4 linked regions of the Pelodiscus sinensis genome follow. The protein of the gene in region 3 interacts with the protein of the main gene of each other region in a biochemical or structural test. Links are inferred from orthologs where the notes say so. Each region holds a gene or a part of one and is shown on either strand. Other genes may lie near its edges.

Evidence for each region.
Region 1: the proteins of ERBIN (region 3) and ABCA1 interact in a test that uses a peptide from one of them, tested with the Homo sapiens proteins (2 studies listed by BioGRID and IntAct). The link is inferred for Pelodiscus sinensis from reciprocal best matches to the Homo sapiens genes ERBIN and ABCA1.
Region 2: the proteins of ERBIN (region 3) and KCNA4 interact in a test that uses a peptide from one of them, tested with the Homo sapiens proteins (3 studies listed by BioGRID and IntAct, with this or other methods). The link is inferred for Pelodiscus sinensis from reciprocal best matches to the Homo sapiens genes ERBIN and KCNA4.
Region 4: the proteins of ERBIN (region 3) and SCN4A interact in a test that uses a peptide from one of them, tested with the Homo sapiens proteins (2 studies listed by BioGRID and IntAct). The link is inferred for Pelodiscus sinensis from reciprocal best matches to the Homo sapiens genes ERBIN and SCN4A.

The regions. Positions count from the first base shown.
Region 1 is NC_134716.1:5,225,296-5,232,850, reverse strand, and holds the start of ABCA1 (phospholipid-transporting ATPase ABCA1), read left to right. Parts: upstream 1-4,419; 5' UTR 4,420-4,569; intron 4,570-7,555. UniProt on the Homo sapiens protein: Catalyzes the translocation of specific phospholipids from the cytoplasmic to the extracellular/lumenal leaflet of membrane coupled to the hydrolysis of ATP.
Region 2 is NC_134714.1:95,610,495-95,618,645, reverse strand, and holds the start of KCNA4 (potassium voltage-gated channel subfamily A member 4), read left to right. Parts: upstream 1-5,128; 5' UTR 5,129-5,941; intron 5,942-6,665; 5' UTR 6,666-7,476; coding exon 7,477-8,151. UniProt on the Homo sapiens protein: Voltage-gated potassium channel that mediates transmembrane potassium transport in excitable membranes. Forms tetrameric potassium-selective channels through which potassium ions pass in accordance with their electrochemical gradient.
Region 3 is NC_134716.1:89,980,105-89,987,394, reverse strand, and holds the start of ERBIN (erbin), read left to right. Parts: upstream 1-4,176; 5' UTR 4,177-4,859; intron 4,860-4,885; exon of another isoform or gene 4,886-5,134; intron 5,135-7,290. UniProt on the Homo sapiens protein: Acts as an adapter for the receptor ERBB2, in epithelia. By binding the unphosphorylated 'Tyr-1248' of receptor ERBB2, it may contribute to stabilize this unphosphorylated state.
Region 4 is NC_134739.1:2,073,864-2,081,940, forward strand, and holds the start of SCN4A (sodium channel protein type 4 subunit alpha), read right to left. Parts: upstream 3,190-8,077; 5' UTR 2,985-3,189; intron 1-2,984. UniProt on the Homo sapiens protein: Pore-forming subunit of Nav1.4, a voltage-gated sodium (Nav) channel that directly mediates the depolarizing phase of action potentials in excitable membranes.

The sequences.
Region 1 (7,555 bases), about 85 Mb from region 3:
TGTGAATGAGCCCGAATCAGAATTCATAGAATCCTCGAGCTGGAAGAGACCTCAGGAGGTCATCAAGTCCAGCCCCCTGCCCCAGGCAGGACCAATCCCAATTGACTGTCTAGTTTTGAACTTTCTTAGATGGATGTCTAAGAAACCTGTGAAAGAGGCAGAGTGTCTCAGGTGTATTAAACCAGTTTCTTTGAGAGCAGAATTCAGTCTTGCATAGAAATCCCAGATGTTGATTATTGCAAAGAACCCTAAAAGGCCCCAGATCAGTGGAGGCACCTGTTGAAACCAGCTGACGAGGTGGACTTAAATTGAGTGAGCACTCTTACTGTAACACAATAGGCGTATATTTGCATTTGAGGAACTTGAAAAGGGAAAGCGTGACTGATTACTAAATTTAGAATATCTGATGTGCACATTTTCTTAATTTATAAAACACAGCTTCAAAAGCAATGGAATAGATCGGCGGCTAATAAGACTGTCTTCACTCTGCTGTGATTCATCTTCTGGAGCTTGATTCAGTGAGTCTAGTTAAGACTCATTAAATTGAACTCAGAGGGTGCCCTGCCAGGCTTGGCTTATGGTAAGCTGTCTCTAGGTAGGTATTCTACATAGCTGGAAATGCGTACCTTAAGCCGAGCTGCTGGGTCCAGTGTAGACCTGGCCTCAGTGTAATTAATTGAGGCTCTGGCCATTTATAAATTCCTTTGTTTTTTTAAAATAGACCCTGGTTTATATTGGTGACTGACAGAATGGTTATATATATATAGGTCACACCCTCTTTGTGGTGAGGATGGTAGGAGTCGTGCAGAGAATTCAGAACCCTCACAAATGACTGATAGTCCTTAAATTATTATGTACCCAAATCGTATGGATAATAAAAAGCTTCAGAGGGGTAGCTGAGTTAGTCTGTAACAGGAAAAACTTAAAAAGCACCAATTTGTGTAGTAGCACCTTAAAGATTAACAAAACATGTAGCTGGTATCGTGGGCGCAAACCACTCCTGTCATCTGAAGAAGTGGGCTGTGCCCACGAAAGCTCATGATACCATCTACATGTTTTGTTAGTCCTTACGGTGCTACAAGACTACTTGTTGATTTTTAGGGTTTTCTCGTATGGATAACATAGCACTTCTCACCTTCCATGGGGCAGGTGGCAGTAGACAAGTTAAAAGCCTTAAGTCTAGATCATAGTTCTCCGATAGCTCTCCAAGTGGTAACCTGTCTTTCAAAAAGCTGCTGATCTATATGTTGTTCAAACCATCTGGAAACAGAGGAACAAAAAGAAACCAGGAGTAACAGATTACAGAAAATATCTCAGTACAGATTTTGATTTCTGTCCCACTGTTTTATAAATCCAAAGCATCGAGATGGTGCTGCAACGGCTGTGATGGAACTGACAGAATACCACCAGACAGTCAAACTCTCTCTGTTGTGATTTAATTTAGTTGTGAGATTACAGTATTATGCCATTCTGAGTTTAATGTGCACATATGTGATTGTGCACATTTGTTTGATTACTTCCTGGTATGTTGGAGGCTTACATGGCTAATTTTATTTTAAAGCATAATCCTTTGTGAGCCTATTTTGGGGGAGGGAGGGAGAAGAAGAGATCACTCACTTTAGTCTCCATATCTTTCTTTAAAGAATGAAAGAAGTACAGTAAAAATGTAGCTTTAAAGCTGAGCATTGAAATGCACAAAGCTGGAGATGCAGAGAGAGTTTCCATACCTCGGTTGCTCCTTTTAAAGCAAAGTATTAACATGCAGAGGTGCAAACAGCTTTGTTACATATGAGCAATGGCTTTGCACTGGGAACCCTAATTTAGACTGTCCTGGCTCTTGTGCTTTAAATGTGTTTGCCATCTAGAATTTTGTGCATGGAATAATTCACAATGTGCATGCATTCACAGCCTCTATGCCACTGGCTTTTGTGCTCCTCTTTAGTGATATACCTGTAGGCATGGCAGAAAGGGGAAATCTGAACAGCAATAAATTTCTCCACAGTTCCTTAGCTGGGGGTAATTATGGACAACTGACACCGACTCAGGATCCTAGCACAGTGAATTGGGTAGTCAAGCACATTTCTCCAGAAGCTGAACAAGCTGTTGACTAGAGGTCTTACAAATACAACCGGTCAAACTACGCACTGAAAATAATTTTACATATGAGTTTAGCCCTTTTTTCTTGTGATCTGGTCCACATTTCTTCCTAATGTGGGACCCATTGAGCAAATTGTTGAGATTAACAGTTTACAGCCAATGGGTTGCTGGTGAGCTGCTAACTTTTGCCATTCATATTTTTTGTTCCTTGCAATAAATAATATGGAATTAAATCCCGGCCCTATTAAAGTCAATGGCAAAACTCTCATTGACTTCAATAGGGTCAGATTTCACTCCTGATTTATTTCCAGTGATGGTTGCACTGGTTTAACTGAAGGTGTTTTTCAAAAAATGGTTGGACCAACATAAAATGCTGTGCAGTTTCCTGCAGTCTACAGCAGACTTTGGGCAGAAGGAAGTAACCTCATACCAGCTTTGCTCTTGTCAGGACATGAATTTTCTCAGTCTAGACCACTTCTGCACACAGTCCCTGGATGCAATAGAAGAGTTGTCCCATAACATCCCGTGTTAAGAAGCCTGGAGTGTCACAGCAAGCTAGGGCATTATAAACGTACTGGGTACATACTCAGATTTCTGTGTGTAAATTTTCCCAGGAAGCTGAGCGCTTGGGTGGCCACCCACGAGAGATTCAAGTACCGCCCCATATTAGCAGAATGGCCACAGCTGGCAGCATGTCTTTCTATTGGTGGTGCACATCTTGGTGTCTTGGTGCGTACAACAAAATTTATCCTACACATGGATAGAAAAAAAACTAGAGGAGGCACTTGTGGGCAGCAGCCATGCAGAACTCACCTGCTACTCTGCAGCATGATGTGGTCTATTGAGTAAAGCAAGGTGACCAGTTGCTAATTTGAGGTTTGACTAGTAACGAGTCACATTTTGGTGTCGCTGAAACTGATTATGAACAGGGTCATGCTACCCTGAAACAAACCATTCAAATGAAAATGTTTCTGTGTAGGGGTCTGCACTGGCGTAGCTAAAGAAGTGCAAAGATGGGTTTTGAAACCAAGATTTTTTTTGTAAGGAGCATCACAAATGATTGATAACTTCTAGCATGAATGTTTGTATAAACATTCATCCTCAAATTTTTAAAACCTCCAAGTTTCCAGACATTATATAATAGCAGCTAGCTGCCTCCATGGACCCAATTAATGTTATGATCCCTTGGATACGAGCAGCTTATCTGCTCATAAAGGAAAAAATTTCAGCCTCTTCCCCTCAGTTATCCTTCCAGCTCTGCTCACAACTCCTGCAATACTCTGGATACTTGTGTGTGTAACGGCCTCTCTTCCTAGGTGTTAGCCCTTGCTGTGTTCATGGAAGAGAGGGAATACAGATGGCCTTTCAGTGTATAATCAGGGACCAGTCTGATCATCGTAACAGGGCCCAGCAAGAGAGACTCACCCAGTGAAGCCTAGACCTTTTACTAGCACGTTGGTTCCCAACCTTTTTGGACACAGGCCCTATTTGTAATTGTTTATATCCTGTTGTGACCCACTAAATGAACTGGGGGTGGAAGGGCCTGAGGTGGTTTCAGTTAGGTCCTGCATCCCAGGAGGGTTGGGTCCAGCCTGCCACACTCCTCATAGTGTTGGCTCCTGTCCTGTGGGGCAAGCTGGGCTGGCTCTAGGTGTTGCAATCTCCCGGCTTGCACTGCTGGCCAGGTTTGGCCCCACCCCGCGGACAGGAACCACATTTGTGTGAGCAGAGTTGTGACTTGGCTCCTCCTGGGCTTGCAGTGCCGCTCCCTCAAATTTGGCCTCCCCGTGTCTTGTGGGCTGGGCCTAGCCTGCCTGGTTCTGGGTCCTTCGGAGCTGACGTAGGGGGACACCCCGGGGGAAAAATAATGGGTACTCAGCACCCTCTGTCAGGCCTGTGGATCGGCTCCACACCCCCCAGTGCCTTCTGCCCACTGCTGACCTGCAGGAAGCACAAGGAGGGGCGCAGGGCAGCCTGTGCTTGGGTGAAGGCGGGGGAATGTGATGGGAAGAGGCGGGGTGGGGCCACGGGAAAAGGGCTGCGGTGTGGGGAGCCCTGGAGTAGAGCAGGGGGCCAAGCACCCCAGGGGAATCAAAGTGGCTGCCCCCCCGGAGATTGCAGCGCTGGTTGGGGAGCCCAGCAGCCTAAAGCCTCCAGAGGCCCCTTGCAAACCTTTGGGGCCCCACCCAGGAGTTGGGAAACCCGCATCCAAGGCAGGCTCCCTGGGGCTCCCCCCCCCCCGACCCTGGCCGGCTCCCTGCGCGTGCAGCCCCGGGGACTTGCGCGCGGGGCCCTTTTAAGAGGCGGGCCGGCTCGCCACGTGCGGCGGCTGAGTGACGGGCCGACATAAACACGGCGGCCGGGTTTGACCGGCAGTAACCCCGCGGCGGGGCCGCTATAAAAGGCGCGGCGGGTTCGAAGCCCCGCCGGGGCTGAGCTAGCGCCGGGGAGCGAGAAGTGGCTGCCACCCAGGTAGGGCTGCGCGGCGCGTATGTTCAGCCCGGGGTCCCTGCCGGCGGGGCGCTTCTGGGGCTTTGTTTATTGCAGGGTCGCCTCGTTGCCCTCCTGGGCTCCCCTCCCTTCTGGGGCAGGGGCAGCCCCCGCCCCGTTTTCTCCTTCCCGGAGCTTTGTTTGTTGTACGGTCGCCTCTCTTTGCCCGCCTGGTCTCCCCCCTCTTCTGGGGCAGCCTCTCCCTGCCCCAGCCTCACCCCCTGCCCGGAGCTTTGTTTATTGTAGGGTCGCCTCTCTTTGCCCGCCTGGTCTCCCCCCTCTTCTGGGGCAGCCTCTCCCTGCCCCAGCCTCACCCCCTGCCCGGAGCTTTGTTTATTGTAGGGTCGCCTCTCTTTGCCCGCCTGGTCTCCCCCCTCTTCTGGGGTAGCCCCTCCCTGCCCTAGCCTCACCCCCTGCCCGGAGCTTTGTTTATTGTAGGGTCGCCTCTCTTTGCCCGCCTGGTCTCCCCCCTCTTCTGGGGCAGCCCCTCCCTGCCCCAGCCTCACCCCCTGCCCGGAGCTTTGTTTATTGTAGGGTCGCCTCTCTTTGCCCGCTTGGTCTCCCCCCTCTTCTGGGGCAGCCCCTCCCTGCCCCAGCTTCACCCCCCCCCACCCCCGCCCGGAGCTTTGTTTATTGTAGGGTCGCCTCTTTTTGCCTTCCTGGTCCCCTCTCCCTTCTGAGGCAGCCCCTCTCTCTCTGCCCCCAGCCTCTCCTTTCTTTCTGGGCCCCCCCCCCCCGCTGCACGTCCTCCTTTGTGGCTTCCTCTGGCTTCTCTCTCCTCTTTCTCCCCCCCCCCCCTTCCCCAGCGCTTGTTTGCAAAGGGATTTATTTGGGCTGCTCCGGGTTTTCTTCTCTGCTGCTTTCCTCCATGGCTCCTGGCTGGAGCCGCTCTGTGTCCAGGGTCTGCTCTCTCCTGCCCCGCTGCTTTCTCAGCAGGAGCCCTCCAGCTGGGGCGGCCCGGGCAGGAAGGGAGGGCAACCCAGCCAGGCAGCCCTGCTGGGACTGACCGAGAGTAACCCCTGGCGTCTAAACTCTGGTTCCTTAGAAAAAAATAACAATTGGAGCCCTCCTCTTGGCAGAGTCTTTTTTTGCACACGCCGGCCTCGCTGGGGGACTGGGGATTCGCCTCAAGGAGGTGGGGGAAAAAATATTCTTGTAGGAGAGAATCCGGCTTCCAGGACTGTTGTGTGCAAGGAGAAAGACTGAAGGGATCCAACAAAGGAAAATGGGGGAAAATAGCTGCTGATCGACTCCAGGCTAAAGTACCTGGCTTCCTGCCCCATTTCCAGGGAGTTAGGAGCTCTGCCTGGGAGGATGTTTTGGGCAGAATAGAAAAGTGCTTAGGATCTGGGTGTGCTTTGTATCTTTTTCTGAAAAATGTAGTTCATTTTATTTGGGTGTGCTTGTGGGCTACATATTTCATGCTGCCAGCACTTATTCCTTCACTGTGAGATGGGAAAGCCTAACAGGGCAGAATTGGATCTCCGCTACAGCCATGTCACCAATCCCTTAAACTCTGTGGAATGACTCCACGGGTATATAAGACCAAAATCAGTCTCAGTTCCTGTATAGGAGTGACAGCACCTTTAACAGCAGGCTTCATCTTTTGTTGCTACATCATAGCTGATAATGAAACCGTGTTTAGGGTTATGATGGTGTACTAAAAAAACAAGGGGTCAAAATAAAGCTGTAAAATTCAAGTTGCTACTTGAAAATGGTTGATATTTTTTTCACCAAAATTATCTTTAGTTCTAGCACAGGTCACAAAAATCAAACATTTCCAAATCCTTGTTTTAATTTCTGATGGTGTTGTAAACACACACACAAAATATAGTTGTAACCTAAATACACCATGTAGGTTTTTTTTAACTTCAAGGCAACACTCAGGCTATGTCTACACTAGCGTGAATTTCCGAAAATGCTTTTAACGGAAAAGTTTTCCGTTAAAAGCTTTTTTGGAAAAGTGGATCTAGATCGGCAGGACACTTTTCCAGAAAAGCACTTTTTTCCGGAAAAGCGTCTGTGGCCAATCTAGATTCGCTTTTCCGCAAAAAAGCCCCAGTCGTCATTTTCGTGATCGGGGCTTTTTTGCGGAATACACTACTGTGCTGTCTACACTGGCCCTTTTGCTGTCACCACTGGCCCTTTTCCGGAACAGTTTTCCAGAAAAACTTTTGCCCGAATGGGAGCAGCATAGTTTTTCAGGAAAAGCACTGATGATTTTACATTACATCGTCAGTGCTTTTCTGGAAATTCAAGTGGCCAGTGTAGACAGCTGGCAAGTTTTTCCAAAAAAGCGGCTGATTTTCCGGAATAACTTGCCATTGTAGACACAGCCTCAGAGTGGAGTCTCTCACAAACCAATGTGCTTAAGTGCTTTGTTGAATTGTGCCCTAAATGAAAACTGCTTTTTTGAAAATCTGGCCATGTTAATATTTTAAAATACAGTACTAAAATCCAAACAGAACAGTGTCACTACAGCCGCAAACCCTATGGACAACCCAATACTAGTCACAATAGACAACAGTTGTGCTTTAATTTTCATGACACTTCGGTGTGGCAGAGGCCTTTGTGCAGTGCTTTGTAACTTCAAGGGATGCTTTGTGGAAGCACATCCAATATCAATAGTGATATTAAATAGGAATTATGGCGAGGGAAATGAAATGAAAGCATGTCTTGTGCAGAAACAGCTAGGTACATATCGCCTCCCTTAAGAAATCCAAAGGGAAGTATATGGCGAGCCATCCCCAAACCAGATGGATCACTGAGTTTCTGCAGTGCCCTTGCAGACTGTTCTCCTAACTACATAGTATCCCAGACCCTGGCTGTTGGGTCATGTTAATGACGTGACAGATGTAACTGCACTTGCTTCACCTCTACAATCCATTGTCAATGGGAGTCTGTGCATAGGCAAAAATAATGCACCTGCCTGTGACCATCCAGACTGAGACCTTTCAGCACACTGAGT
Region 2 (8,151 bases), on a different chromosome or scaffold from region 3:
AATCAAGCTGAGCCTGGACCCTGATTTTTGCCAATATAATTTTCTATTGAAAGAACTGCATACAATTGTTTCTGATGTATCTGGTTGTCACAGCTGATAAAATGCATATACTTTTCCTGAGTATATGTGTGTATCAGTAAACATAACTGCAAGAAAGAGAAAGCTCATAACTGTTATTTCATGCCCCAATCCATGACGCAGTTGTGGATAAACTGACACATAAAGTTAATAAAGTTCTTATACCACTTTGGTGGCACAAGGTCAAATTTTCATTTAGATGGTGTCAGTAGGAAACTGGCAGAACTCTCCAGTACAATGATGGCAAAAAATCACTCATTCTCTGGGCTGCTAATAGTGGTGACTAGACAGAATTCATGGATTCATAAAGGTAGAGAGGACACAACTATGGGTTTTCTTCTCTCTACTATCTATTTAATGTGAAGGGCTCAGAGGCAAAGCAACTCCTCTCTTCTGACCAAGCTCATCTGGCCCACAATGCACCTTTTTATTCCCCATCAGGTTGGTCGCAGAGGATACACTAGGAACTCTGACATGCTGATTTGGGCTCAGAGTCTCCTATGGGAGTTACACTTTGTTACCACAAGGCTAAATTTGGGCTAAGATAGCTGTGTCAGACTATGCTCAAAAACACGAATCTCCTAACTCCTGACCTTGTACACGAACACAAAGACAATCTCTTCTAGTATAATATGTGTAAACTGTATGCATAATACTTTCTAACATGGAGTCCTTCAACAAAATGTATAGCACCTACAGGGTGTGACTGCACAGCAGGGCTTAACTCGAAATAAACTAAGCAAATTGAACTACGTCAATTGCATAGCTTATTTCAAAATTGGGAGCATCTACACAACACTTATTTAGAAATAGAGACTCTTCCTCCGACTTCCCTGTGAGGGGGGTGCGGTCTCAGAAGACCCCTTTTGGTGCCTCCCAGGGTGCTGACACGGCCACTGCCACTCGCCTTCCCACTCTCTGGGGCTCTTCACTGCCTGGTCCTGCCAGGCCAGCTCCCTGGTCTCCCCCAATCACGGCCCTGAGCTGAGATCTCTGACCCCCAAGAAGCAGTACAGTTACTGAACCTCTTCAAGTTTGATTAGAGTGCAGTTTAGGGCCCAGCTCTTGGGATACCACTCCCCAAATGACATCAAACCCCAAAGAATTAGGTAAGTCACCTTTAACAATGAAAGGGGGAATGTGCACACTGATTGCTCTCCCATGTAATAATTGCTTACACTGGGTTTGATAGAAAATAAAAGTGATTTTATTAAGTACAAGCAGTAGGATTTGAGTGGTAATAAGCGAGAACAGGCAGAGCAAAGTAGATTACAAATCAAAAGAAACAAAAATGCTTGGCTAATTCTACCCTGGAACCTCAGTGCAAACTTTTCAAACTCACCCTAAAACATCTTTTCCAGCTGCCCTTGCAAATCAGGGCTGTCTCCCCACCCTGGGGTCTTCGGCTCCTTCCTGCAGGTGCAGCCCAGCCAAAAGACCAAAGGCTCCTGCCTTCCTATTCTTTTTAAAGCATTCCCTTGTTCTATGGGGAATCCCTAAGGACTACTGCTAAGCCTTAAGGACAAAAGGCTATTTGCATATTACTGCTGAGACACTGGGGTCCCAATTGATGGCTTTCCATTTACACATTTAAAAATCATAAAGTATACCCTACTCCATATGTCTAATTTTACACACAAAAATGATACACACATCAAAATAAGATAAACAGAATCAGCTGATCATGACATGAAGATTGATAGGTTACATGAAATAATTTGCTCCAAGCACCTTTGAGTTATTTATATTAATGTTCTTTGGGGGGGGGGGGAGGGGGGGAAGGGATGTCCATCACATTCCCTTACTCCTTGTACAATGAGGGTTGCAGGAATCAGAGTAAGAAGTCCTCCAGCATGACAGTATTTTGACTTTATTTTGAAATAACTGCCTGCTGTGTAGACATGGACTAAGTATGGACGAAATAATGTGGCTGTGTAGACGTACCCACAGTTTTTGGTCTGATTCTGCAGTTTCTCCATGTGTGTCCCTTCCCCTGATGTCAATGGCAGCTGTTTGATATGAGAACTTCAAGTGCAGCCTGTAGATCCTAAAAGCATCGCTTTCCATTCAAATAATTGGACAAATTGGTGGCAGATATGACACAAATTACAAGACACTATCAAATACATTTGCTACTGGAAAACATATGTGCCATACAGTGAAACATATCAAAATTATTTTCTCTACATCTGTGACAATTTGGCACAATACCAGTTTGCAATGTGAGACATCTCTAGGCACAGAGCTACTGGAAAAGTTCTTGAAGCATTTTTGAATTCTTTGTCTTGAACCAAAATGTTGCTCTTTCCAGTTTCCCCCCAAATATATGGAATTTTAACAGTCCAAAGGCAGCATTAATTGTGATCTCACAGTCTAATCTCTCCCCAAATTATTCCTGACCAAAGCAGGAGCATGTAACTGCTGTCCATAGCCTCATAGCCAGAACAAGGAGTATATGTGCCAAATTTCACAGATCATGCTTCTGACCAGCCACTAGAATGGCCTGGTTCTACTTGCCAAAGAATACTTGCAAAGGCATCCTCTCCATGACTTTTTCTGAGATCCTTAACTGATGTGAAAATTTACCACCCCATATTTTCCCAACTCCACTCAGTTTCCTTTGGCATCTCATCAGGAGCAAATGCCACACACAGTCTAACACCTAATATCTCCTGGGTTTTGTATGCCTTCACAATGATTGTACTCTCTGCTTGCCTTGTTTCAAAACTGCAAATACAGAGGGAGGACATTTGATTCAGTACATTGAGCAAGCAGAGTTTCCCCCCTTGCTGAGAAGGAACCAAATATATCTAGCCTAAGTGATTCTTGCCAGGTTTTTTACTAACCTCATCTTAAAAGCTCCTAATGACAGGGATTCCACAGTGCAAATAATTCACTGAGCTTCATTCATCTTTATTTATGATAAAACCTAGAGGTTGAAACAACTGAGGCCCCATTGTATTCACTGTATGAATGCATAGAAATGGGCAGTCCCTGCTCCATTTCCCAGTCAAAACAGATTAGAGAGACAAAATGTGGGAGAGAGGAACTATAATTACAGATAGGGAACTGAAGCGCAGAAAAGTGATCTGTCCAATGAGACCCAGGAAACTTGTCACAGAACTAGGGGTAAAGCCAGGTTTCCTGAGTCCCTACTTAGTGCCTTACCTCAGGGCTATCCACTCTCCAAGACTATCTTCCCTTCTAACATTCCTTCTTCTAACATTGTTGTTTTGAAGAATCTCCCTGATCATGAGCTTAAAGGGAATCCAAGAAGAATAGAGAAAGTGCTAAGACTGAAAATCAACCACTTGTGCTATTTTTGTTCGAGTCTCCCTTTTCATCCTTCTGTGCAATCCAGGTCAGGATGGATCCAACAGGATCAAGGGGTTGGGTGCATGATTTTATGGGACTGCTGCATCAGTTTGCATTATGATCTGGATTTTTTATGTGCACTGGGAGTTTTTATTTCCACCCTTTATTTTGTTTGAGTGGGGTTACATTCAGATGCCAGTTATGCGTTTTTCTCATGATATTAGGCTGGGGTGCATTAGGATCTAGATTTTTTTTAGTGGAATAGGAGTGGTTATGCTTATTTTCCAGTTAGATCTCCCCATCCCCTACATGAATGTTGTAAAAACCTGGATCTGGCTCCAGCTGGATTTTGGGCATATTTGATATCAAGTCCCACATTCTACTATCTGCTTGTTTTTTTGGTGGAGTAGGAGGAGCTACTCTTATTTCTTCTTCCTGCTGTGGTTTTTTTTTTTTTTTTTGAGGAGAGTAAGGGCTAAAAGTGGATGGATCTGGTAGGATTCAAATCCATATCTGGGGTTTCGTAATGCTCTGCATAGTGAGCAGCTAGACTTATTTCTCTGTAGGAGCATTACAATTTGAGGCCAAAGTTTGGCAGGATTCAGGTATTAGATCCAGGGTTTTGCAATGTTCCTACTCCAGGGAGCACTGAATCAACAGTGTGTCCTTGTAGTTAAGAAGGCTAACAGCATATTAGGGTGCATTAGGAGGAGCATGCCAGCAGATCTAGAGAAGCGATTTTTCCCATTTATTTGGCTCTGGTGAGGCCACATTTGGAGTGTTGAGTCCAGTTCTGGGCCTCCCACTATAGAAAGGATGTGGATGCATTGGAGAGGGTCCAGCAGCGGGCAACCAAAATGATTAGCGGGCAGGTGCACATAGCCTACCGGGAGAGGGTGAGGGATTTGGGCTTATTTAGTCTGCAGAAGAGAAGAGTGAGGGGGGATTGATAGCACCCTTCAACTTCTGGAAGGGAGGTTCCAAAGAGGATGCAGAGCTGCTATTGCCAGTAGTGACAGACGACAGAACAAGGAGCAATGGTCTCAAGTTACAGTGGGGGAGGTCTAGGTTGGATATTAGGAAAAACTATTTCGCTAGGAGAGTGGTGAAGCACTGGGATGGGTTACCTAGGGAGGTGGTGGACTCTCCATCTCTAGAGGTTTTTAAGTCCTGGCTTGACAAAGCCCTGGCTGGGATGATTTAGTTGGGATTGGTCCTGCCTTGGGCACGGGGCTGGACTCAATGACTCCTGAGGTCTATTCCAGCCCTAGGATTCTATGATTCTAGGGTGGATTGGATTTCCCGCAAACCCCCCCCCCCCTCCAATAAGAGCAGTAGGGCTGCTTTTCTGTTATGAAGCAACACATTGGGAAATCATGGCCAAAAACCAGCAGGAGCCAGGTAGATCCAGCTGTTCACTGATGTTGTGTGCCACACTTATTCCTTGATTCCATTTGAAATTCCCAGTGCCTCTTGAGCGGCATAGATTTTCTTTAAAAAAGACAGCCCTCGGCACGGACCCGAGCTCTCCCTTGTATTAGCCAAGGTATGTATTATTCAACTCTGGCATATTTCTTTCAATAATTAATATATGACCACAAAAAGAAACAATGCGGGCGGGGGGGGGGGGGGGGGGAGATTGTAAATTGCTTAATGAGTGCAAGGAGGGCTGTGGCCGCTAGGGGCTGGCCGAGAGCTGGAAAGCCCAGGGAATAAATCAGACCTGGCGTTCGTCCTTCAGTGGCACGTAAACACAGTTGGGAATCGGGCAGCAGACGGCTGACAAAGGGGGCGAGAGCGCGGGAAAGAGCAACAGTTCCTGCGCCCGCAACTCACTGAGGCCAGAGTTAGCGGGAGCGCGGCGCAGGGGCTCGGGAGCGCGGGCGCGAAAGCCTCGCGGGGGGTCGGTTGTGTTGGGTTTAATTGCCTCGCTCCTCCTCGCCCCCGCCCTCCAAATAATAGCAGCAGCAACAACAAGTGGATGCGGTGTGCGCTGGACTGCGGGGCGCTCGGCTGCAGTGTAAACGGGCGTGCGAGGGGAATTGCCACCAACAGGGCGCCTCCTGCTATCACTCGCCAGTGCTCGGCTCGCACAGGGATTATTCCCCGTTGATTTCACCCTCCCGCCAGCGCCCGCTTTGGAGAGACAAGTGATCACACACACACACAAGCGTGTCCTCCCGCGCGCGCGCACACACACTCTCTCACACACACACTCTCACGCACACACACACACACACACGAATCCTCTTTTTTGTTTCCTCCTGGAGCAAGATTCTTGATTGTTGCTGTTTTGCTAAGCTCTGGGCTAAGAAGTGACCGTCGCTGACCAGATTTCTCCAGAGCTGGGCTCCCCATCTGGCTCCCCCTGGGAGATCTGCTTGTGTACAAAGAGAACCGAGACAAATAAGTCATCCACCTGTAGTTTTGGCTGCCCCTACACCTGCAACCCTAGGCTGCTTAGTTAGCACCGTCCCCTTCTCAGGAGCTCTTTCTCCACATCCTTGGACGAGCCAGAAGAGCGTTGCTATTTCTCTGCCTAGGAACAGTAAGTATAATAGCATTTTTCTTCCTGCAGCATATTCAGAAAGGGGTGTGTGCTGTTTTTAGGGGTGTGTGTGTGTGTGTGTGTGTTTGGGTGACCGTGTGTTGTTGCTCCAGGAAGCTACAGTTTGTATTTTTTTGTCAGACAAGCATGGATGTTGGTCACTGGATATGCCCAGGTATGTACCTTTTACTAAGTGACAGTTTAGTAAAAGGTGCATTGTGACTACATCACAAGTTAGATTTGAAATGTACTGTATCATTCCTGCAGTTAATTAAGTTCCCAATATGTAGCAGAGCTATTTTGTATACATCTCCGTGTCACATTTGATATACGTAGAAGATTTTATACATACAAATACAGTCTATATGTAAAGTCTTGCAAATTGTGACTGCCATGTACAGTAGTATTGATGTGAATGTTGCGCTCTCTCCTAGAGTTAGGAAGATAAAACAATTACATACTTAAGTACACCTATATGTGTATACACACACACACTCGTATCTGTACACACAATCATAGAAAACCTATGGGTGTATGGAATGAATGTGTGTGATGTATTAATGTGAAGGGGGTGTGTGTATGTGTGGCTGAACATCTTAGTAAATGACACAATTTGCATTTGACCTACACTGTGGCATCTTAGGAAAACGAACCAACCTTTTCTAAACCTTTCTGTTTTCTTTGTTATTTTTGTATGTATGTGTGTTTGCTGCATGTGCCTCAGGTTAAGTGCTTCTTCTGCATGAGCATAACCAAAGGGTGATCCACTCTCTTGTCCCCTATGGAGTCCTCCAAGCCAGTGTTGCAGCCTTCTCCTCCTCCTCTTGCCACTGCAGCTACTGCCCTGGCTGCTGCTCCGAGGTTTGAGACTCTGTTGACAGGCTGAAGAAAGAGGGCTTGCAAAGACCTCCTCACTGTGTAAACAAAATGATGGCTGGAAGTTACTTCAACTCCCTCAATATCATTATTAAACAGTAATCATATTGCTAGACCAAAGCATTACTTGGAGAAAATGATGAGAAAAGAGACTATTTGCATTTGGTTACAGTGATAAACTAAAGACCTGAAACTTTTCTTTGTCAAGAAAACAACAGGACAGTTACCTCGTTTTGTATGAACACTTGGCTCTTTATTGGGTGCAGTCCTTGGAGCTACAACAAAATCACACATTTGAAAAGATGTGTGGATTCTGTATTGGCCACTGAAGTATCATAAAAATAAAGAGGCTTGCCTGATGAAAGGATGAGGCCTTGACTCTTTCTGAAATCAAAACTGAAGGCTGCATCTTTTCTTTTATTTTTTTTTGTGAACAAAACACGGTTATATTTGTCAGACATCCTGAATGATAAGAAAATGCAGATTTTGTGGTGGTTACAATTTCACAAAACACAAATTCAGTTTTACTAATACCATCATGTACTGTGCTTCCAAGAAACTGTCCTCCAAATGCAAATGGCTTTGAACTTTCCCTCATAAAAGTCAAGGTGTGACTATAGATATCCCAGACTATTTTGTATTAAACAAACAGTTACAAAATGGAGGTTGCAATGGTGAGTGCAGAGAGCTCTGGCTGCAACAGCCACATGCCCTATGGATATGCTGTCCAGGCTCGGGCTCGGGAGAGAGAAAGACTGGCACACTCGAGGGCAGCGGCAGCTGCAGCTGTGGCAGCAGCAACAGCAGCAGTAGAAGGCGGCGCCTCGGGAGGAGGTGGTCCCTATCATCACTACCACCAGATACAGAGTCGGGGGGCTTCTTCTTCTCACGATGGCAATGCACCACATAGCAGTTTGCCCTGGCATCAAAGCAGTAGAAGGAGAAAGCGAGGGAGAAAAAGGAGCCACTATTTGAGTAGCAGGGAGTGTGGGGCCTCCTTCCTCTGTTCTGAGCTGCTGCCTCTAAGTGGCTCTGAAGAGAAGATACTGAAGGACTTGAGTGAGGAGGAAGAGGAGGATGAGGAGGAGGATGAAGAAGATGAGGAGGAAGGGAAGTTCTACTACAGTGACGAGGATGAAGTGGATGAATGTTCGTATTTGGACCACCCACCTGATGATGGTGGAGGTGACGGCGGCCCTGGGGGCTACAGCACAGTGCGCTACAGCGAGTATGAGTGCTGCGAACGGGTAGTGATCAATGTATCAGGACTGCGGTTTGAGACTCAGCTGAAGACCTTGGCTCAGTTTCCTGAAACATTGCTGGGGGATCCGGCA
Region 3 (7,290 bases):
GCCGCATACAAAAAAATCTCCCCCCTGCCCATCTCCTCTGGAGAGTTGTGTGGCAGCATGCCCATGGCAGCTGGCTGCTCCAGCGGGTGGGGCCAGCTGAGCCAGCATGGTAAGGGAGCTGCTGGGGTTGGGACCTGCCATGGCTGCATGGCAGGGGAAGGGGGGGGAAGGGGAAGGGAAGGAAGGCCTGCTTCAGTGGCTGGGCTGCCACATGGCATGGGGAGCCGGGGCCTGTTCTGGCAGCTGGGGCCAGGCACGGGACCTGCTGCATGGTGGGGAGGAGGTGGGCGGGGTGGTGGTGTCTGTTTCAGTGGCTGGGAAAGGGACCTACCACAAGGCTGGGGGGACAGGGTCTGCTCTGGTGGAGGGGAACAGGACATGGTACATGGCATGGGGAGAAGGAGATTTCTGCTCTGACAGCTGGGTGTGTGTGTGTGTGTGTTAATAACTTGGGTGCCATAGTGGCACACATCCGATCGAGCACACGACCTCAATATTGATGCACAAGCCAAAATTCACTCCGTTCACGGTTGGACAATCTTAGAGGGAACACTAAACAGCATCTTTGAATGGTTCCAAGTTGGGGAACTCCTGGTGCATGGCTAGCTGGAGAGATGCCCTGAGAACACACCATATGTCACTGAGCAAACAGAAAGGGGACTCAAATCTCAAAAAGAATGCAAAGGATGGGTCTGGGGGTTGGTCACCAGAGAGCAAGGCAGTAGAGTTCAAAGCGATGTCCAAAGAGGCAAGAACAGGCAGCATGAGAAGAGTGCTGGAGACTAATCATAACACAGTACTTCACCGCACTAGTGCCCAAACGCATTATCCAGAGCACAGCAATCTCTATGCTGTTTGCAAAATTGGTTTACCTACAGCAAACTAGTGTACATTATGATTTGCCAGTGTGGATACTGAGAAAGTTACAATGCTGGGGACTGATTTACTGCACAGTAACTTGCCGCTGTAGACTTATTTTTAACTTTGGCGCATGAAATGTGTCATACTTAGTTTTAGACAAAAGGTGAGTTGTTCTGAAGAAAAAGAAGTAAGAACCTAAAAACAGCTATACTGGGTGAAATCAAAATTCCATCCACTCCCGTATCCTGTCTTTCACCAATGGCCAGTGCTAGGTGCCCCAGAGAGAATGAACAGAACACAATCATCAAATGATCCATGATACTTGTATGAACATGAGAAAATGATAGAGGTTTCATTGTTGGGGGAGGGAGGGAAGAGACCTCTTCCTAATTTGTTTACAATGCCTTTATTTATAAGTGTAAAATTTGGCATAGTTGTTATCAGATATTTATTAAACAGAGGACGGGATTATTTGAGAAAAATGTAGGAACAAAATGAGTGCAACCTAATGCATATTGCCTTAAGTCCAGATGTTGCTATATTTGAATAATTGAACATTAAATAGCAAAATATGTAATTCCTATTTACATATGAAAATATTCAAATAAACATTTGAAGGTACAATCAAATTTAAGTGCATTTATTTAAATATGAGCATATTCACTTAATCTCAGCTAAACTATTAGCACTCAAACCCCTTCATTGAACTGAATGGTAACTGTAACATTCCTGAACTGGACTGATAATGGATCTAATGATCAATCTCAGGAGAATGGCAATGATAAACTTTTTACTTCAAGGGGCTTGTCTTGATGTATAGTGCTACAGGGCATGGGTACTGGGTGAAGGCCCAGCGGTGGAAGGGAAGACAAGCCCAAGCCCCGCCCCTCCCAACAAAAGCCATACCCCTTCCCCTGCGACAATACCTCCTAAACCAGTGGTCCCCAACGCGGTGCCCGCGGGCGCCATGGCGCCTGCTGGGGCATTCGTGTGCGCCCGCTGACAACCTGGGCTGGCCCCGCTCCCGGCGCACAGGAGGCGCCGGCCCCAAGCGCGCGACACACACTGGCGCTGCGTGCGCGGCGCTCGGGCGGCTCCAGTCCCGGGGCACATTGCGGGCACTCGGTGCTCGAGCGGCGCCGGTGCCGGCCCCAGGTGCGTTGCTCGGGCGGCAGCGCCGGCCCCGGGCCCACGGCGCTCTGGCGGCCCCGGCCCTAGGGCAAACGCCGGGTGCAAGAGCATCCCAGTCCTCTTGCGTGCCCCCGGACGCACGGCTCCGCCCCCGGCGCATGAGTGGCCCCCACCTCCCGAGCGCCCGGGAGCCTCTAAAGGTTGGGGACCACTGTCCTAAACAATTCTTCCCCCTAAACAAACCCCGGCCAACTCCAGCTCTCAAACCATATCTTTCCTGGCTACCAGGAGGAACAGGGCTCCCTGTGCTACAGCCCCAGCTCTCTCTGGCTGGCAGGGAGCTAGTCTCCTGGTACTGTGGCTCCAGTCATCCCTGGCCACTGGGCTGCCACTCTAGGGCAGCTGGGCAATGTAGGCAGTTTTGGGACGGTAATACCTTCCCTTGCCTTTGTTACTGGCCACCCATGCTACAGGGGCACAGCTGTAGTGCTTTAGTGGAGATGCTATTATGCTGATGGAAGTAGTTTTCTGTTGGTGTAGTTAAACCACTTCCAGGAGAGCAGTAGCCATGTTCACAGAAGCTCTCCCATCAACATGGTGCTGTCTACACAGGAACTAAGTTGTATAATTACATTGCCAAGGGGTGTGGATTTTGAGCAACATAGTTATACTGATGTAGGTCTCTAGTCATGTAGATGTGGCTCAGGTTGTGACTACAAATCATTACTGTATAATGAGTGTTCAGTAGCATTAATAAAAAGTTTGGGTTTAGTTCAATTCTTAATGGGCCTGGATTAAATATACAGCATCACCATTCATACTGGCACATTTGTTCACAGTCCCATTAAAGTAGCCAAAGATTAAATGAGTGTGAAAACTACATCCTTAGAAGTGGCCCCCTCAGAACATGATTACAGAACAGAAGGTGATCAGCATGTGGAAGTCCATCCTGCAGTTACCAGTGCTGTCTGTCCTGTGGCTCAGAACTTTAGACTCCAGATTTGTCAATCTGGCATGGTGCATAAGTAACAGATTCACTAAAAAAACTAAGGATACAAAAAGCAAAAACAGCTACCACCACATATTGTTGAGATTTAACATGAACAGATGAATAAATCAAGTGTCACACAACAAATCTGCTAGCTACATTTCACATACCGTTGCATGTTATGAAACATTTAAATTAATAGCATATTTAGTGAAACGCTGCTTATGTAGAAAGGGGGAATGTTTCAATAAGAAATACAACTTTGAATTTCCTAGTTTAGTATCCACGATCTCAAATATAGCATGACACTATTATTAGCATTTAAGTAATTTAATTTAATACTTTTTTTTTGGAAACTCACCATGTGGCACTGTGCCCTTACTCCCCAATAAAAATACTCGAGATAAATGGCACATTGGAGTGATAACTAACAAGGTTGTTATGTGCAAGAGAACAAAAGCCTGGCACAAGACTGACTGTAATATGTGCAATTACTATATTATGATGCTGAGCGGATTACCCCTAAGAAAACAACTCTCATTCCAGACTCAAGGTTGACTCTGTCTTAACTGATACGGTCTCTAAACGAACAAGCGAGCCACCGCGCCCTGCATTCCACTGGCTGCCAACAAGCAGAAGAAACAGCGACACCTTTACACTAAAAACAGGCAGCGAAACCACGCGGCGATTGCTTAATGAGGAAGAAAAAGGGCATCAACGACTGCGAGCTGCCGCTTTTCCACACACGCAGCAGCGAGCGCTGTGGGCGTGAGAGACAAACAGCGAAGGGAACGTTACGCTGACCTCTGGCGAGCCTTCATCGCCCGCCTCCCCCTCCACTTCACCCCCGCCAGCCCCGTCCTCTGCCCCTCCCCCTCTACCTTTTCGTTTCGTTCCGCTCCTGTCACTGCCCCGCGCCCTTTCCCTGCCCCTACCCCCGCGTGTTCCTCGCTCCCCCACCCCCGCACCAACCCAGCGCACAGCCGCCCCTCCCCCCCTCAGCACATCGCTTCCCGGTTTCATGCAACGCAACTTGCTGAGGCATTGCTCGTAGAGCGCCGTGATTGGCTGGGGCTGGCCGCCCCTCGCGAGGCCCTGGCTCCGGATTGGCTGTGCTCCGCCGCTGCTCGCACTCAGCCCCGGGCTTGTGGTCTGACTCAGGAGTGAGGCAGGCGGGGTCTCGCCTTCCTCTAGCGGCCAGCCGGAGGGAGTGTGTGTGTGAGAGAGACAGACAGAGGCGCGCCCGCCCTTCCCCTCCCTCCCGGCGGCGCTGCAGTGTCTCCCCTTGGCTGTGCGGCGGTGCTGCCGCCTGCCTTGTGTATCGTGAGCGCCCCTTGCCCCGCTGCGGGCACGACGTGGCCCGGCTACTACCGGTTCCCCAGCCACCGCCCGGCCGGAGGGCGCTGCCTGTTCCTCGCCTCGCGCCCCTGGCGGCGGTTAGCGGCGCGGGGCGGGCGGGGCCGGGCTGCATGCGGCAGTCTCTATAGGACGGGACTGCAGGCGGGGCGGGCTCGGCGCGCGGAGCTGGCCTAGTGTGGGGAGGAGGCAGCCTGGCTCGGGCGGCAGGGGGCGGTGGCGAAGCGGGCGCTGCAGACTCGCCGTCTGTGCCCGTGCCCAGGGCAGGAAGTGATTCTCCAACTTCAGCGCCGCGGCCGGGGAATGTGACTCGGCCGGGATCGGTTGGCCGCTGAAACCGGGACCGGGGGTGCCGAGAAGCCGGTGCTGCGTCCTCCCTGCCCCAGCCCTGCTTCCCGACCAACAGCGGCTGCATCCGCTCGGCCCCCGTGAAGAAAACTTGGTTGGATTTAAAATTCCCCTTGGGACGGAGAGGGGCCCTGCTGGGGTAGGGTGAAGCTGATCGAGACAGCAGCGATCGAAGGTAAGTGGGTGCAGAGGAGGTTTGGGTAAGAAACCTTGCGCCGAGGGGAGGGGAAAGGAAGGAGCTGGCGCTTCATTCCGATATCCTGTTTTTGGCCTTTAGTTTTCTGCTGGGCTGTGTTGTCTGCCTGAAAAAAGCCCGAGTCTCCTTTTGTCTCTTCCAATGTTATTTGTGTGTGTGGGATCGTTATTTCTATGGAGGTTGCAAGAAGAATCTGGTGAGATCGAAAGTTTTTAAGCTCCTCAAACAGAAGTTTCTTTGTTCAGCAGGATGAGGTATTGAAGTGAAACTGCCTGGTTATGGTTCTCTTCTGAAATAGTTAGCCCGGCAGCTTAGTTCCTTTCTCTACAAATAAACACTTCCAAAGGGTACTGCTCTTAATTATTTTACTTGAAAGAAATCCAGAAGTTAGGAGATATTTGCTTTCCCCCCTTTACTTTCAAGGGTGTTGGTTCCTTTACTGTCGCCATCTAATATGTGCATCCTTTAAAAAGAACGACTGATCTTTCTTTCTTTGTAATCATTTGTTCACTTTACAAATAAGGTTGTGTTGTTTGTCTTCTGTTCTTCAAGATGAAGAGTTTGGCTATCTATTTCATCACTGGAGAAGAGTTAGTTTGTTTAATTTTATCTTAATACCTGGGGCAGGATAGCCAACACTTCTTGCATTGCCTTTCCTTATAGCAGAAATTGAATGATTTTCATATGCAAGACATATACCTACACTTAGAACCTGTAGAAGTTTATCCTGGTAAAATCTGATGTAGTCGAAAGAATGGAAGATACTATACTTTAATATGAGTTACTATAAGAACTGCTTCTCAAAATTAATATGGTATAATTTGGGTAAAAACTGACAAATTTAATTTTCATTGCTTTATATGGGACTTCTAATCAAAATTTGTTTGAGATAGGAATACACACAGGCTCAATGCAATGTGATACTACAATCATCTTGTTAAGGCTATTGCAAAAGTGTGGCTACTACATATTACTTTATCTTGACTAATTTTATTTAACACAAAACATATTATACAAAGTATCTAGATGTCCTATAACAACTTGGTTTAAGATGCTTCAGAGAGCCAATGCCAGATATTGATTACACTGGAGTTCCAAAACTATATGTGCTGAGAGAGGTCTAAAAAAAATCATTCATGTATTGTATAGATTTCAAAAGAATGCATTAAAGGCCATAGCTTGGGACTAGTTTATGTTGTCCTTGATAGAAGACAGTCTAAATTATTATTCTTGAATAACGAAGTGGATGGCAGAGTGTTTTCAGTTGTACTGACTGGATATGTTGTGTGATCAGCCTGGTTTAGGAATATGGAACTGGCTTGTCTGAGAAGCGTGTGTGCCTGAGAACCAAATATATTCACTTTTATATGAACTTTTTATACTTGTTATATATGTATTTGCCCATTTTAAGAAAGTAAAACATTTAAAAATGACCCAGATCTGATAAATAACATCAGGCAGTTTTGTGTAGTGATGAAATGATTATTCATCTAGCACAGACTCATTTAGTAATAGTATTCTTTAGTGGAAAAGTGACAGATTTGTGTCAATACAAAATAGCTTTTTCAAATGATAATGCACAACTGATCTGGGTTATGATTTATAGACTTATCTTCACAGGCAACAGAAGAGGTTATTCTTGGGCATCTGAAAGAACTAAACAAAATAGATGACATTTGAACTTCATCTTCCTTCTATGGCTTATACTTGGCAGTGAAGCAATGAAGTCTAAATAGAGTAATCCTTTTATAGAGAATGATCATTTTCCAAAGCACTGCTTCATTCCTAACAATGACACGGTTCTGAAGGTGGGGGAAAATGTAGTAAAGCATGACAAATTTAGTTGTCAACTAATGTATTCCTAATGGATGCAATTTTATTTCTTTTCGGACTTTTTGTTTTTCTGATGATGTGCTAGATATTTTTCAGTACCATGTAGGAGAAGAGATCCTTGTATTTGGGGCACCAACTTTTTGAACTGGTTTTGTCATTATGGCAGCTAAAATAAGGCCCTTAAATGATGAGAGTGCAGTTCACTGCTACTTATAGCTGGTGGTTATGCCATAAAATGGTGTTCATTTCATTAACATAGTTTAGTATTCATCAGAGAATTTATTCTTTCTTGCAACCAGCAGTGTTTTCAGAATAAAAAATTACTTAAGTAATAAAATCTTTAAATTGTCATTTTTGGTGTAGGAATGTAAGTGACTAGTCAAGTAGTTGACTACCTCATAAGTCTACACGTATTGGGTAGTGGAGTCGACTACTTGACTGCTGGCATTTCCCCCTCTCCTTACTGCCTCTATATCAGAGGCATCAAGTGGAAGAGCAGGAGCCGGTGCTGGAGGGAGCTGGCTTAAAAACCAGTTCCCACCAGCACCGTCTCCGCAGTGCTGCCTGCCTTTCCCCC
Region 4 (8,077 bases), on a different chromosome or scaffold from region 3:
CCCTGCACACGCAGCAGGTGCCTGGCCCCTGGTGCACAGAGCTGGTGCCTCACCCCCTGCACACGCAGCAGGTGCCTGGCCCCTGGCGCACAGAGCTGGTGCCTCACCCCCTGCACACGTAGCAGGTGACTGGCCCCTGGTGCACAGAGCTGGTGCCTCACCCCCTGCACATGCAGCAGGTGCCTGGCCCCTGGCGCACAGAGCTGGTGCCTCACCCCCTGTACACGCAGCAGGTGCCTGGCCCCTGGCGCACAGAGCTGGTGCCTCACCCCCTGTACACGCAGCAGGTGCCTGGCCCCTGGCGCACAGAGCTGGTGCCTCACCCCCTGCACACGTAGCAGGTGCCTGGCCCCTGGCGCACAGAGCTGGTGCCTCACCCCCTGTACACGCAGCAGGTGCCTGGCCCCTGGCGCACAGAGCTGGTGCCTCACCCCCTGCACACGTAGCAGGTGCCTGGCCCCTGGCGCACAGAGCTGGTGCCTCACCCCCTGTACACGCAGCAGGTGCCTGGCCCCTGGCGCACAGAGCTGGTGCCTCACCCCCTGCACACGCAGCAGGTGACTGGCCCCTGGTGCACAGAGCTGGTGCCTCACCCCCTGCACACGTAGCAGGTGCCTGGCCCCTGGTGCACAGAGCTGGTGCCTCACCCCCTGCCCACATAGCAGGTGCCTGGCCCCTGGCGCACAGAGCTGGTGCCTCACCCCCTGCACACGTAGCAGGTGCCTGGCCCCTGGTGCACAGAGCTGGTGCCTCACCCCCTGCCCACATAGCAGGTGCCTGGCCCCTGGTGCACAGAGCTGGTGCCTCACCCCCTGCACACGCAGCAGGTGCCTGACCCCTGGTGCACAGAGCTGGTGCCTCACCCCCAGTATACGCAGCAGGTGCCTGGCCCCTGGCGCACAGAGCTGGTGCCTCACCCCCTGCACACGCAGCAGGTGCCTGACCCCTGGTGCACAGAGCTGGTGCCTCACCCCCTGCACACGCAGCAGGTGCCTGGCCCCTGGTGCACAGAGCTGGTGCCTCACCCCCTGCACACGCAGCAGGTGCCTGGCCCCTGGTGCACAGAGCTGGTGCCTCACCCCCTGCACACGCAGCAGGTGCCTGACCCCTGGTGCACAGAGCTGGTGCCTCACCCCCTGCACACGCAGCAGGTGCCTGGCCCCTGGTGCACAGAGCTGGTGCCTCACCCCCTGCACACGTAGCAGGTGACTGGCCCCTGGCGCACAGAGCTGGTGCCTCACCCCCTGCACACGTAGCAGGTGACTGGCCCCTGGCGCACAGAGCTGGTGCCTCACCCCCTGCACACGCAGCAGGTGCCTGGCCCCTGGCGCACAGAGCTGGTGCCTCACCCCCTGCACACGCAGCAGGTGCCTGGCCCCTGGTGCACAGAGCTGGTGCCTCACCCCCTGCACACGCAGCAGGTGCCTGGCCCCTGGTGCACAGAGCTGGTGCCTCACCCCCTGCACACGCAGCAGGTGCCTGGCCCCTGGTGCACAGAGCTGGTGCCTCACCCCCTGCACACGCAGCAGGTGCCTGGCCCCTGGCGCACAGAGCTGGTGCCTCACCCCCTGCACACGCAGCAGGTGCCTGGCCCCTGGTGCACAGAGCTGGTGCCTCACCCCCTGCACACGTAGCAGGTGCCTGGCCCCTGGTGCACAGAGCTGGTGCCTCACCCCCTGCACACGTAGCAGGTGCCTGGCCCCTGGCGCACAGAGCTGGTGCCTCACCCCCTGCACACGCAGCAGGTGCCTGGCCCCTGGTGCACAGAGCTGGTGCCTCACCCCCTGCCCACATAGCAGGTGCCTGACCCTCCTGCGCAAAACAGGTGCCCAGCGCGTTGCACACAGCAGGGGTCGGGCCTCTCGTGGAGACACCAGGTGCCTCAGCCCCTGCGTCTGAGGTGGGCTCCTGGCGTGCGCGTTGCCTCCTGCGTACTCAGGAGCTGCCCAACCCCTTGTGCACCGCCGGCACATGAACCTTGTCATTAGGCATGAGCGGTCTCTGGGCGCTGCCCCTTCTGTGTGTGCTCCACGTCCCCTCCCCTCTTCCCGCCCCTCGTCTTCCTCAGTCATCCTCTCTGTTCTCTCCCCCTCCTCACTCCAGTCCCTTCCTCCCCTCCCGCAGCTCCGCCCCGGCTATCCTCTGTCCTCCCCACGTTATCCCTGCACCAGAGCCCGGCCCCGGGGAGCTCTGCACACTGCAGCCTCTTCGGCTGGGGCGCAGAGGCGGGTTCACTATGGCTGCCAATGGCGTCTTTTCCTGGCACATCACTTGTGCCATTTCACAAAAGGCAGAAATCGTATCCCCGGCTGCCCTCCCCGCATGGGGCTCCTCCTTGCACGTTCCCAGGGGGGCAACTGCAGCGCAGAAGAGGGGCCAGGGATCTCTTCCACAAAAGGAGACACAGCAAGCGCTCCTGCCTGGAGACCTTTCATGCAACCTCCGGCTTGGCCTGGCCAACGTTTATATTTAGCACCCGAGGCGGGGAAGGCAGGAGCCAGGGGGTTTCTGACCGTAAAGCCGTGTTTTGAGCTGTCTGCTTCAGCACAAGGGAGCTGGGAGAGAAGTGGAATTTCTGCCCCCAGCCCCAAAGCCCTCCCAAAGGCAGAGCCGTTGGTTCCAGCAGCCAGTTTGCTTTCCCTGGAGTCTGCTTCGCGCAGGGAACTCGGGATTCCCTGTCTGCCACCCTCTGTGGGGACCTGCTCCCAGACCCTGCCCGTCTCCCTGACAAGCCTGGCACGAGGGTCACCTGCCGGCAGAGAACGCACCACCAAGCCGTCTCTCTCCAGACGCTGCCGGCTGCTCAGGCGTCCCCGGGGACCTGGCAGCGCGGTGCTCCCAAGAGCAGGGCAGTGAGAGCTCTCAGGCTGCGCTGTCACTTGGCAGAGCATGGGGGAGCGGGGGCTTGTGAGTTTGCAGCAAGCCCCGAGCTGTGCTACGCTAGGAGGACGAGCTCCGGGACACTGTCGGAGTCAGCTACTTACTTTTAGATGGAAGAAGCAGGGTCCCAAGGAAAGAGCTTTGGGGTCAGATTTTCACTCTCCTTCGACTCCGGGAGTGAGAGACTTTGGCTCGGCTGGGGCGTGCTGGCTGGACAGCTGCTGCTGCTGTCAGATGGTCACGAGTGAAACCTGAGGACCTGAGGGTTCTTCAGGTAGCATGGCCCTCTTGCGGCTTGGGCATTCGTCCTCCGGGTGGCCAATCAAGTGGGAGGCAGTTCCCCTGGCCCCACAGCCCCATTGCAGGGCACTGGGCAGAGGGATCAGGCTCCCTGGGACATACACACAAGGGAGGTCCCTGGGCCCAGCGGCTCCGGAGCAATCCACTGGGAGCAGCTCACAGACTGCGTCACAGCGAAAGGCCGATCCAGGCAGGCAGCCCCTGGGCTCCGGGTAGAACGAGGAGCAGGATCGAGAGCTGGGCAGCAGCTGGTATTTTGGGTGCAGGAGCCGCATCAACCCCATGAAAATAAACCCTGTTCCGGCTGCACCACCGCGGAATTTTCTTTTCATTTCCCAGTGAAATGCAACAACACAATTCACTCCAGCCCAACGGTCGCTTCGGGGCTTGAATTTTGGACTTTTAAAAAATCAGAAAGTGGAAGTCAGCTTTTGAAGCAGAAAGCAGTTCCAGATGAAACGTCTCATTTGACTGTTACTTGTTTGCCAAGACAAAAGAAGTGAGCTTGTTATAAATCTGCAAACTCGTTCAGTGACCTAACGAGGCATTTCCCCCAGGAAATGTGGCCAAGCTTCCCCCCCACTCAGCACAGCACCTGGGGAACCCCACAAATTGCTCCCAGCTGGGGTGGAGCAAAGCAAGGCCCTCACGCCCCTCCAGCATGACGGGCAAACAGGCAGGGAAGTAAGAGGAGACAACGGCTAGGTTGGGGGCTTTCTGAGACCACCGTCCTTCCTGCTGACCCAGGCTCCCCAGTTGATTGTCAGCTCTCTGGGCTGGGACAGCACCTGGCCCAGCAATGGGCTGGACCATCGGGTCTAGATGCTGCCTCCAGAGAAATACACACTGATGGCTGGAGGGTCGGGCTTAGGAGCTTGCCATCCCGTGACCTCAAAGCACATTCCTGAGGAGGTGAGCCTCATTAGCCCCATTTCAGAGGTGGGGAACCGAGGCACAGAGCAGCAGCATGACCGACCCCAAGCCACCCCGCAGGGAGAGAACCCAGGTTTGCTGAGTCTCAGGCCAGTGCTGTATCCACTAGGCCACATTGCTCTGAAGAGAAGCCCCAGAAGACTCCTGCCTCACACACTCGGACTCCTGCTAAAACTGCGAAGCTGGGAAAATCCAACCCAGCTGACTGCAGAGCAGAGAGGTCTGGGCACACGCCCCCTGCGGCAGCCTAGCCCCCCGCTCCCGCCCGACGGGGATTTAAAGGGCCCAGGGCTATGGCTGCTGCCGCTCTGCAAATTGCCAGGCTGCAGAACAACTGCCCCCTTTGCCCTCCCTGTGGCGCCTCCCCCACCAAGCCCAGTGGGATTTCAATCACAGCCCTGCAGGCAGCGCTGCCACCTGCAACGGTGCAGAGGTACCACAACCTGCCCACCCTCCAATAACAACCTTGCAGCCACCCCCAACTCCTCTTTGGGCCAGGATCCCTACAGCTACAGCACCCTGCAATGCCGGGGTCAACGAGTGCCTATGACTGTGCAATTGACCAAAGGGGGCTGGGACTTTGGGAGGGGCTCTAAAGATGAGCATGGACCTTAACGGTGCAGGCAGGGCACGGGGGCGATGGTCTGTACAGCTCCTAGCACAGCGTGGCCCTAGGCTCTCCTGCCACACAAACATGAAATACCAGAAAGAGCAACGACCGAGCCATTTGGGGCAGTTACGGAGGAGCCTGGTGGCAATGGCACGGGACCCGCAGGGCACTGACCGGAGGCTCCATTAGTGGGTTGCTGGGTTACTTGGGGTGACTGGGAGGAACTGACAGGAGAGTGGGGAAGTGGGTAGGATCAGGGGATGGTGGCAGATGGGGCACTGTCCCCCCCACCCGGAGCTCCTCGTGAGGCCTGCAGGTATCTGGCAGCATCGCTGGGTCAGCATGATTTGAGTGAGCCGGATGCCTCCTGCAGTCCCATGAGGTTTGTTTCCAGCCCCAGTCCTGGCTCTGGGTCCTGTGCTGCTATTTAGCTCTAATTTACCCCTTCTAAGGGCCCACCCAGCAGTGGCAGTGTTGGTCATGCTGCTGGCCAATAGTGACCTCCTGTGGTTCGGCAAATTCTCTGGTTTGGCACCGGCCAGGTCCCCAGGGTGCCGGGTAGAGAGGTTCAACCCGTGCGGGTATTTAAATCCTCACCTTTAGATTTCAGAATTAATAACCCTGCTAGAAGGCATGGGGCAAGTTCATCCATCCCCGAGCTATTGAACTAGTGCTTTGAACTGTAACCCCTTCCTCCCTGGGGGTATGTCTACACTACCCCGCTAGTTCGAACTAGCGGGGTAATGTAGGCATACCGCACTTGCAAATGAAGCCCAGGATTTGAATTTCCCGGGCTTCATTTGCATAAGCGGGGAGCCGCCATTTTTAAATCCCGGCTAGTTGGAACCCCATGCAGCGCGGCTACACGGGACTCGAACTAGGTAGTTCGGACTAGGTTCCTATTCCGAACTACCGTTACTCCTCGTGAAATGAGGTGTACCGGTAGTTCGGAATAGGCACCCTAGTCCGAACTACCTAGTTCGAGCCCCGTGTAGCCGCGCTACACGGGGTTCGAAGCAGCGGGGATTTAAAAATGGCGGCTCCCCGCTTATGCAAATGAAGCCCGGGAAATTCAAATCCCGGGCTTCATTTGCAAGTGCGGTATGCCTCCATTACCCTCCTAGTTCGAACTAGCGGGGTAGTGTAGACATACCCTGGGTTACTCGGGAGCAGGCCACGCTCACTTGTGTGCCTGGGCACCTGATGGTTTTAACATGAAAGGGGAGCCTGAGGACCCTACAGGTGGTGTTGGATAGCTGGGGATCCCCTCTCCACCCCCACTTGCTTCAAAAGGAATATACAGTGGCGGTGCCTCCACCTGGCTGGCCCTGTACACACTTAGGGTACGTCTAGACTACATGGCTCTGTCGACGGAGCCATGTAGATTTGTTGTTTTGGCAAAGGCAAATGAAGCCATGATTTAAATGATCGCGGCTTCATTTACATTTACATGGCTGCCGCACTGAGCCGACAAACAGCTGATCAGCTGTTTGTCGGCTCAGCGCGGCAGCCATGTAAATGTAAATGAAGCCGCGATCATTTAAATCACGGCTTCATTTGCCTTTGCCTATGTGTCTAATCTACATGCCCCTGGCAACAGAGCCATGTAGGCTAGACACAGCCTTAATGATGTGCCTGAGGAGCCTCCAGGAATCAAAATACAGGACAATGTAGCACTTTACAGACTAACAAGATGGTTTATTAGATGATGAGCTTTCGTGGGCCAGACCCACTTCCTCAGATCAAATAGTGGAAGAAAGTAGTCACAACCATATATACCAAAGGATACAATTAAAAAAAATGAACACATATGAAAAGGACAAATCACATTTCAGAACAGAAGGGGGTTGCGGGGGGGGAGGGGGAGGGAGGTAGATGTCTGAGAGCTAATGATATTAGGGGTGATAATTGGGAAGCTATTGTGACGTAGTGGGGGTATTGGGCTGCTTTCTAAGCTGGCTCTGTGGTAACCCCACTGGCTGCTGCTGGTACCACGGCCCAGAAGGACAGGGAGTGAGACATTATGCAAAGAGGCCCTCTCAACCTGTCCGACCAGCTACCCCCCAAGGAGAGGAACAAAGGAAGGTGAATGCCGCCCGGGCTGGGGGGCAGGGCTGGAAGAGAGTTAGTTAGTTTTCTGTCTGGGAGCATGGAGGAAGCAACCTCAGCAACAGGCTGGGGGTTTAGAAGCCGAGACCCCCCCCCATATCAAAGGGGGATGAGGCATCTTAGGCCTGCCCTGTAACCTGATGACATCTGTGCTGTGCTGTATTCTGGAGAGGCAATAAACTCCCTCTGTTCTCCCGGCTGGTGGAGTCTGTTTGTGCCATTTCGGGGTGCAGGAGGCGGGGGACCCCAACGCGCCATCACACTGGTGTCAGGAGTGGGATGCACTGCACCCCGTGGATGGAGCTTCCAGCGGCGAGCGACAAGGCGCAGTAGAAGCAAGAGCCCTGGAGCCAGGCGTGCTGGAGACAGAGCGAAGCGGTTCCTGGGAATCGTGGGGCGCTGCAGCACTAGACTGGTGAGTCTGCACCGAGGGGCCCAGCGGGCAGGTGGCCTACGCCCGACTCTTGAAGGCAGAGCTGGTGGGGCTGTGCAGAGAACGGGGCTTGCCTGTGCAGAAAGCAACCAAGGCCCAGCTGATTGCCCAGCTGGAAGAGAATGACCAGCCACAGGGCCAGGATCTTGTCCCCAGGGGGAGCAGCCAGACCCCCCCTGAGAGTGTGTCAGGCTCAGAGAGGGGGAGGAGCGCTGGAACCCACCGGAGAGATGAAACAGCTTCCCCCAGGAGGCCTGCAAGCCGTAGCCCATCTAGGGCAGGGGCCAGCCCAGCGGAGCTGCGGCGCCTGGAGATCCAGCTGCAGATCAAGGAATTGGAAGTAGAGGACCGAGAGAGGGACCGCCAGGACCGAGAGAAGGAGCGCCAAGATCGAGAGAGGGACCACCAGGACCGAGAGAGGCAGCGACAGCATGAGCTGGCCATGGCAGAGCGGAGAACCTGCGGGGCACCGGCTGTGCCAAGAGTGGATGGGCCCCAGGGTCCCGGGACTGCCAGACGCTTGGAGAGGCTCGTGGTGGCCCAATTGAAGGACGTGGGCGACACAGACAGGTTCCTCAGCTCCTTTGAGAGGGCCTGTGGACTGCAACGGGTCCCCCCAGCTGACTGGCTGCAGGAGCTCGTCCCTGCACTGAGCCAGGAGGCGGCCGGAGTGCTCAGTCAGCTGGAGGACCTACACATAATGTTTGTATCCGCAACCTTATCCACAAAAACAAGCCTCAGATACTCGTGGATATAAAGCTGATAATGGTGGGTGTAAAGCAGATACCCGTTGTGGCGGCGCGTCGGGGTTC